2 linked regions of the Schizosaccharomyces pombe genome follow. Changing the gene in region 2 together with the main gene of any one other region gives a genetic interaction. Each region holds a gene or a part of one and is shown on either strand. Other genes may lie near its edges.

Region 1 (3,906 bases), on a different chromosome or scaffold from region 2:
AAAAAAGAAAAAAAATTAAAACAAATTTAGTCCTTTCATTCATTCCCCAGTGCTTTCAGACGCTTTTTATAACAATTCTCCCTTGAGTTTCATTTCTGTTCATAGTCTCATTATTCTTTATTGTGTGTTGACTTCTTTTATTTTTAAACAAAGGTTCATTTTTATTGTCGTTCTCTTTTTTTTTTGAAATTCTGCTACTTTCTCTTGGAATCCCCATCAACGTGTTACCGAATTTGATTCATCATTATTCATACATCTTCCATTTTTGTTGGACATTCGCTGTCTCCAGTTTTTACTTTATCTTCCCATTTTAATAATGTGAGTCTTTACATTCATGGGATTTCCACGTCGATTCTTTTTTATTGCTTAATGGAAACGATTCTGACCGGACATCGTAATTAAATCTCTAACAAAGGCTACCTAATTTATACTTCCTCATCCGTTTACTATTTTTTGCTTTAATATACGTTAAGCAATAGAACAATTTACCATAGCATATTAACAAATCTAATACACTGTCATTCGTTCCCTATTAATCATATTTTTGCTTTGTAATTTATTTTTTTTATTATGGAATTAAAATATAAACGGTATGAAAGTCGTAAAAAGAAAAACACTAAAAATAAACAAAAGTCAAGAGACATGCGTATTTAATAGTACGCATCGATAATCATAAAGAATATGCAACAATGTTTGGATATCGAATTCATACACATAAATGAGGTGTCTCAATCTATGAAGAAGCAGCTATGCCGCGGTGTTGCTTTATAAGCATAAAGCATAGTCGAGAAAAAGACAAAAGACCAAAGGAGTAAACATGAACAAGGGAAATGCATTCGCGATATACGGAAATTTCTACTTGGAAATTTCAAAATAAAAAACAACTGCGCACCAACGATAACAAACACAGGTGCTAGTTCAACCACACAGAAAGTTTTACTTATATAAAGGAAGAAAAAAAGCATAGAAAAAGGAAAGAAACGAACTCGCATTTAAAAAATGGAATTGACGAGATCAGCGCCAGCAGTTGCACCAGCACCGAATACAAATGCAGAACCCAAACCACTACCAATCTTCTTGAATGTTGATGAGTGCTTGTGCTCGGTCGGTTGTGCAACCACGATGGGTTGTTGAGGCGCCTGAGGATAGGCTTGGACAGGTGGATATGGTGCTTGCTGAGGTGGATATGCTGTTTGCTGATACTGCATGGGAGGTGCCGAAGAAGATGCTGCTGGGGGATAGTTTTGCTGTGGTGGAGGAGGAGGAGGTTGAGCTTTAACGGCAGAATCTTCCAACAAACGCACATAGTTAGAAGGGAAGATTCCTTCCTTTCCATTCAATTCACCACGCCACCAATCGTTATTGACATGCTCAAGTACAATGATAACTTCGCCAGCATGGAAACCTAAATCACCAGCATCAGGGCCAGGAAAGTCGTACATCGCCAAAACCCGCTCAACGTTCTTATGGGCAGTATTGGGTCCAGGATAGCTGGGAGGAGGGGGAAGCTTCTCGGTAGATGAATTGACACTTGAAGCCTCGCTTTGCTTCTGTGGGGCAGGCACTCCAGGCAGCTTACGAGGTTCCTCGGGTGTCCTCTTTTCTCCAGAGTTTTGAGACAAAGACATTGCTGCTACGGCAGACGCTACCGATCCTGCTCTTTTTTCCACAGAGCTCTTCCGCTTGGGCAAGGGAAGGGGTACTGAGGACTCAACAGGTTGAGCAGCTGGAGCAGTTACAGGACTAGCGGGACCGTCCTGTAAATGGATATTTGCGTGAACCCAATCCAAAGCACTCCTTTCAACTACGCCCTCATCAACAAGGAATTGGAAGTCGTTGTAGATTCCACGAATAACATGATTCAGGTAGTTTTTATGATCCATATTTCTATGGAAATTTATTACTTAACTCTTTAAGATCTCAAATAAAAATTATTTCAGTTAATTCTTATCAATCTTTAAAAGTTTTGCTGATTAGTGGTAATGGCGGAAGGTAGGTTTACAACTACCGCTTGGTGTGTATACCTGGTAGGTATATATATGGAAAAAACATACGAAGATCGTGGCGCCAAAATTCCAATGCTTTCCACCGGGGCTGAAAAACAATGCAATTTTTTTTAAAAAAATCCTTTTATATAGTAAAATGAGAACTTGTGTGCCATAAGTTTTCGTTAGAATTTTTCAAAAAATTGAATTATGTGAGCAAGTTATTAAGTGGAATTATTTTTAACTTAGAACATTTGAACTGTCAAGTTCAATGTATCAGGAAAAAATATTGAAAATTTGAGAAAGAATTTTTTCCTAGGTATGGCTACAAAATATCGAACAATTTGATGAAATAGGAATTTCTAACCATTTGTTATGTCTCAATTAAATTTCGCCGTATGTAGAGCCTTTGCTTTCAGATATTCGTAAAAACATACAAAAAAGCATGGCACTAGCTGTGTTTTCGTATAAATAAAAAAGGTCCTTAGTATAGTTATCCAGACGATATTTTTCAATTTCAAATCTCACTTCAGGTACCTGAAAACATCCCTAAGTAGAAGTAATATTTTTGTATCCTGACTTGAAATCTGGGCTTTTAAAAAAATGATTTTGGTGCTTTAGAATGCTGTGTGAATTGAATTTTCAATCTCTCAACAAATGCGTCTCAGCGCAGTATAATTGGTTTCCAACGGAAATTTATTATTTGTCAAAAATAAAAATAAATCTCACAAGTTGTGTATATTTGACAATTCCAGCAAAGCCGCATAGACGGTATGCATGGTCTTTATTCTTCCAAAAAAAAATATTCAATAATCACATACTATAATATAGCGATTTGAACAAGCTAAGTAACCGTTTGAGTAATGATTCTTTCATTTATAAGTCATTCTGATCCTTGACGAAATTCATATTTTGTGTCTATTTTCATTCGTATTAAAACTTAGATTACATTGAAATTACAGCATTGGAGAAGCGGCTATATGCATATGAACTCTTTAAAGGATTAGCGATAAAATTACGTTTTTTTTGAACGCTAAAATGTTTGCAGTAATTTTGGTGAAATTCTATTTTCAACGTCTTCATTACCACCCAAATACCCATACTGACGTGAAATTGGACTAACTTGGAGAGGCTTATTCTTTGTGAGAAATTGTTTTCTCCGTTTTGTATTTGAAGAGACAGAAAAGATTTTAAATTTTTTTAAAACTTGCTAGTCTTGGTTATACTTTTGTTACTGTTTTAACTTCAGTTTTTTGTCTTGTCCAAATATTACGATTTTTGAATCGATTGTTGGCAATCACTCAAATCAAGTAATGTTTCGAAGGGGTTTAGTTTTCTCTAGGCATTGTCATTACAGCTTGATTCGTCCTCGATTTCCTTTGAATCGTACGTGCCTAGCGCGTTTTGCCGACGGTCGCAAAAATCTAGCTACTGACAATCGAACGCAGACATACCAATCATGGCGTGGAATGATTTCTATAAGAGCATTGCTTCTTGCAGCTGCAACAAGCGTTGGCCTTTATGCTTATTTCCAACATGAAAAGAAAAAAGTGTTGGAGAGGCAAAACGACAAGGTTTTGGCTACCATAGGTCGTCCCCAATTAGGAGGTGCTTTTTCTTTAATTGATCATCATGGAAATCGAGTTACTGATAACGATTTCAAGGGAAAATTTTCCTTAATCTACTTTGGTTTCACCAGATGCCCCGACATTTGCCCCGACGAGCTCGACAAAATGTCAGCAGCTATTGATATTGTAAACAATGTTGTTGGAGACGTGGTTTATCCTATTTTCATAACCTGTGATCCAGCCCGTGATCCTCCGCAAGAAATGGCTGAATACCTTGAAGATTTCAATCCTAAAATCGTTGGTCTCACAGGATCCTATGAAGAAATAAAAGATATTTGTAAAAAATTCCGAGT
Region 2 (5,187 bases):
GTAGATTCCCAATCTTGTATAATCCCATTACTTTTTCCGTTTTTGACTTCCATTCCTGGGATAGGAGCATGAATTTGTAACTCATCAACAACATATTTATTTCGACCAGTCACATCAGATCGAACACCGTAATATGAAGGTAAGATAGTCATCGGACTTTCTTCTCCTGCATAACCAAATCTTGTCCAACAACTCCCAGGATCTATTACCAATGACGGAATTTCCTCTAAAGTATGGTCATTAGCCATTTCATGCCATTGTCTTCGTCTCAACACATATTATGGTTGATTAACCGCACTTACCCATGTCTATGTAAATAGTTTAGTATAGTTTTAAATGGATAAAATATCCTTTTAGTAGATGCAGGAATTATATAATTATTAGTCTCGTAAACCTTAGTTTCGTGTGTTGGATAGCAATACTATATAAAGAAATTTAATGCATCGTTGAAAGTGTTAAGGCGTTCAGTAGTCGTGAATAGTGAACTCTACAATTTACGGCTTTTTTGATCATATACTTTAGAAATATTCATTTATTTGTTTCTTAAGCCATTGAACTAGTTAATGTTTTAAAACAATGCAGAAGCGAAAAAGTAATTTTCTGTCTTTAATATTTATGGAAAACTTCGAAGTAAGCCAACTTGAATAAGCAGTTTTTTTGCATTAATAGCTACGTTTTCTATTTCATAGTATTAGTATTTCATTAAAACTTTAAAACAAATGATAGTGTTTTAAAAAGCTAATAGGTAGCTCTCTCTATGTGTTGTTTTGAAATGGTTACATAATTTTGAAACGAAAAGTAATGCTTCAGTTTTTCATTAGCTCCCTTGCCATCATGGTGATCCACCCATACCAGCAGCCATAGCTAAGTACCAGGTTTTACTAGCTCCGTTATCAATTTTATCAGCAGTAAAGGTACTGGCAGCAAAGGTATTGTATGCAGTTTTTGGATCGTAAATTGCATAATTGGACCATAAAATACCAGTCCAATTGTTTGAAAATGTATTTATTATCGGAGCAATTTTGGCGTTCCAGTCTTGTTGAACGTAAGATGGAGAACGAAGGTATCCGCTGATAGGCGTAGTTGGAATCATGTGAATGCCTTGTTTACAATATTCTTCAGCTGAAAAGTAAGTTGCATAATCAACTTTGTTCATGAATGTAATTCCTGTCACGTAATTGCCGAGAATTTGTGAAGGCTGTACTGAAGTAGTGGGTGTCATGTATATGTAGGTATTTAAACTGTTCTTTAGGACGGCGAGCATCAAGTTTGCACGGTTGATAAGAACAGTATCATTTCTCACCATACCCCACAATTTCGTTGCATACAGAAAGTTGAAGTCTTCTGAGGTTGACTCTTCATCTTTACCGTCTCCACTTTCAAATATACCTGTTGCCCATGAATGTCCAACAAACCAGTCGAAGTTTCTAAACATAGCAAAATAGGTGTCACTTTCACTTGGATTTGCACTGTCTCTTAATAAAGCATTTACATAGCGAATGTTATCATTAACCAGCCAGGAAGGATCCAATAGACCAATTACCGCACATGCGTAAATATGATAACCCCAGTGAAAATGATGGTCATTATAGTAGGTATTACCATAATCTGCTAAAGGAGAACTATATCCTGCCGTACTGATGATACCTTTATATGTGGTATCATAAACGAGGGGATACATTTGCGTATTCGTAGTAAATCTAGCCATGGCTTGCTTCAATTTTGTCAATCCAGTGTTAGTGAGAGTGCTATCACCAAGGATTCTAGAAGCTACCAAACAAACTTGAGCATACATGGCTACTATTTTTCCAGACGTGTACATTGAGTCAAGGTTACTGGCATTTACGACATCGAAGTTAATATCAGTTGCACAAGCTGCACGAATCGCGGCTAAAGCAGTAGGAGAATACGTATTGCTTCCACCATTCCAAGGAATTGGTAAAAAACCTACCTGCGTTGGAAGATTTTTTTCGATTAAATGCCAAGTTTTAGTAGCATAGGCAAACATTATACCCATTGTTGTACTGGCTAAGCCTAAACCTGTTTTGTACGCTTGAGTGTCAGAACCAAAACTTTGCATATGATGGGGAAGAGCAAACATTAGCGGATTTAAGTTAGTATATCCAGCTGTAGCGAAACGAAACCAATATTCCCCGGTGGTACCGCTAACTTGAGCTGATAGAGAAATAGACGTAGTATATACACCAGCAGAAGCATCATAGATGGTATCCGGATATGAATTATTCACGCTTTCGTTTGGAACTTTACATATTTGTATGAGACCGGTAAATTTTGTAGAAGTAGTTAGTTGAGAATTCGAAGCAAGAGTCAAATTGAAGGTACTGCTCGAACTCGTAGGAAATGCGTAGAGAAACCAGATCTTTCCATCTGTCAATTGAATTCTATATTTGTAGCCCCTACTGAAATTTATTTTAGTAATTGATGAGAAAAGGATGGAGGAATTGAATACAGGAGTCAAATTGGTATAATAACCACTTACAAATCCCATGCCAGCAACAATGGGTAGGATTATAGTCCCTGAACCAGAGGTTGTAGCGCTAAGAGTAGCCTGGATAGAGAAATGACGAGATTGGTCAAGGGATAAGAGGTTACCCGAAGCAAATTCTCGTGCAGAAATGATTATGGAATAAAGTCCAGCAGGATTAAAGTAATATTGGCATGGAACCGATTCTGGGTCTGGTCCAAACACGCGTTGGCTATCATCAATATGTGAAATCGCAAGTCCATAATAGCTGCTACCATTGAGCCAAGTTACTGAGTAAGGATGTGACCATGATGGATTATGACGGGTGCCAATGTACAAGTTACCATAAAACTTGTTTGTTTGAATTGGAAACAAATTACTTGTTAGCCCAAGAGGAGGAGATGGGTGTGCTCTTGATGGAAAAACCGGATTGATAGGTCCAGTATAGATTGGTACTAAAACATCCATTATGTCGTCTGACTATGAATTGAGCAAAAAAATTTGATAACGAGTGAAAGAATAAGAAAGGATCGAAGCAAAATTTCTAAAAGTCTAATTTCGGATGCTTTTTCGAACTGTCGATGACGGGTTTTACACTAACGAGAGTTTTAGGAGTATGCCACCTCAAAAATTTGGAACTAACTAAAAAATGAAACAACACTCAATTATTTGTCTTAAATAACTTAGCGAAAGTAACAGTAAAGACGGATAAAAGCACTGCGCTGAGAAATTCACCGGTCCTAAAATATTTATGAATTCACGCAAAAGTACTGAAGAAAAACTGTTAAAAACAGTAGTTATTACTTTCACTATTAAAACCCGATAGAGGGTGAGGACAGGTTGCAAATTCTACTCAAAACTGATATAAACCCCATCTCATGGTATCATTGGTTCAACGACTAAGCTATAATATTAGATCTAAACAAAAAACAAAAGAAACATATTAAAACTTTACAAGTAACTTAATAGATTAATGCAAATACTGCATAAACCTTTGTATATTTATTTATTGATTTTACATACTGCAAGTTTTTGTTTGATTTAATTTAATGCGATATTGTAAGCAAAACATTTTTTAGTAATGCCAAACAATAGTAAATAATTGGAAAACAAATAAAAAAAAGAAAAAGCCAATGTAAATGAAAAGAAAAATAAAAATAAATAAAAAGAAGGATAAATGAAAAGCAAGCTTAAAAAAAATGATCGCAAACACTGATTATAAGCTCTAAACACAGTTAATGCCAAAATTTCATTAAAACACCATTCAACAACAAAACTCTTTCATTCATTCTCGTTCTTGTTTCTTTTTTGTAAACTATCCTACAAACTGTATGGAACATTTGAATTTCAAGCTTATTATTCATGACGGCGGAAAGAGTGAGAGTGCTTAATAAATGTGACGTACTTGAAAGTTGTAGCGACTAGCAAGATCTATTTCAAAAGTGGTTTCTTTCTTAACCAAGTAGTAGGAAATTTTGATAGAGAAATTTATTATGGAAGCTGAGAAGTTTGTACTAATTACAGGGTGTAGTGAAGGAGGCATTGGAAATGCGTTGGCCTTGAAGTTTCATCAAGAGGGTTTTCAAGTCTTAGCAACAGCGAGGCAGGTGGAACGTATGGATAACCTGACAAAAGCTGGCCTTCAAACATTAAAACTCGACGTTACGGATGAAGATTCGGTACGAGAGGTTGAGCAAGAGGTGCGCAAGTTTACCAACGGCTCCCTTCATTATTTAATCAACAATGCAGGAGCTCCCTGTAGTGCACCAGCCATTGACCTGGATATCGAAGATGTCAGTAAAGTCATGGATGTTAACTTTTATGGGGTAATTCGAATGAACAAGGCGTTTCAACATCAACTTATACGTGCTAAAGGAACAATTGTGAACGTCAATTCACTCGTCTCTTATGTTCCCTTTGCCTTTAATGCAGCATACAACGCCTCAAAGGCTGCCTTGTTGGCATATTCCAACACGCTGCGTATAGAACTGGCCCCCTTTGGAGTCCAAGTGACTAGTATTATGACGGGCGGTGTGCAAACCAAAATTCAAAGCAAGCCTCTTGGCACTATGACAGAAGCCGCTATTCCAGAAAATTCAATTTACTATCCATACAGAAAACTAATATTGGAAAACAGAAATCCCGTAGAAAAGTTTGTTACGATTGAGGAATTTGCAGACGCTGCATACCCTCAGTTGGTAGGCCGTGGAAGGTGGTATCAATTATTCAAACCAGGTGTACGCCCTGCACAAATTTGGGCGGGTTACATGAGCAGTGCTGGTAGGGTTGGCTCGATGCTTCCGGTCGAGGTGTTTTCTATGTCTGTACGGTTAATCGTAAAACTGCCGTCAACCGCTGTATGGAGAGACCACACTGTTGATTAATTTCAGTGTTGATAGCAGTCTGATATGTGTTTCTCTTTTTGGAACATTGGCATTGGAATCAATTTTGAAATCGTTGCATGTATTTTTTTGTAATTTAATGTCACACTTTTTTTTATAAAGCAAATGAAATGGAAGAAAGTATTGTCGAGTTTAGGAAAGAAAGATGACATTAAAACGGATGCAATGAAAATGTAAGTAAGACAAAAAAGAAGTAACTTTTTTTTTATTCATTAGATATTCAGAGAACATCCAATATTAGGACAACATCTTTTAAATATATTTTTGACATGCGCGCAGCTAGTATGCAAGTGATTTGTG

The links. Genes that interact genetically often act in the same process or in processes that back each other up.
Region 1: of eng2 (region 2) and lsb1, a mutation in one rescues a mutant of the other (synthetic rescue), as found in Schizosaccharomyces pombe (one study listed by BioGRID).

What each region holds. Positions count from the first base shown.
Region 1 is NC_003423.3:720,461-724,366, forward strand, and holds lsb1 (SH3 domain-containing protein), read right to left. Parts: upstream 1,995-3,906; 5' UTR 1,884-1,994; coding exon 993-1,883; 3' UTR 547-992; downstream 1-546. Other genes in the region: copper chaperone Sco1, read left to right, coding at 3,299-3,906.
Region 2 is NC_003424.3:4,354,871-4,360,057, forward strand, and holds eng2 (cell wall and ascospore endo-1,3-beta-glucanase Eng2), read right to left. Parts: upstream 3,323-5,187; 5' UTR 2,954-3,322; coding exon 833-2,953; 3' UTR 540-832; downstream 1-539. Other genes in the region: SWI/SNF and RSC complex subunit Arp42, read right to left, coding at 1-226, 303-306; ayr1 (1-acyldihydroxyacetone phosphate reductase), read left to right, coding at 3,979-4,869.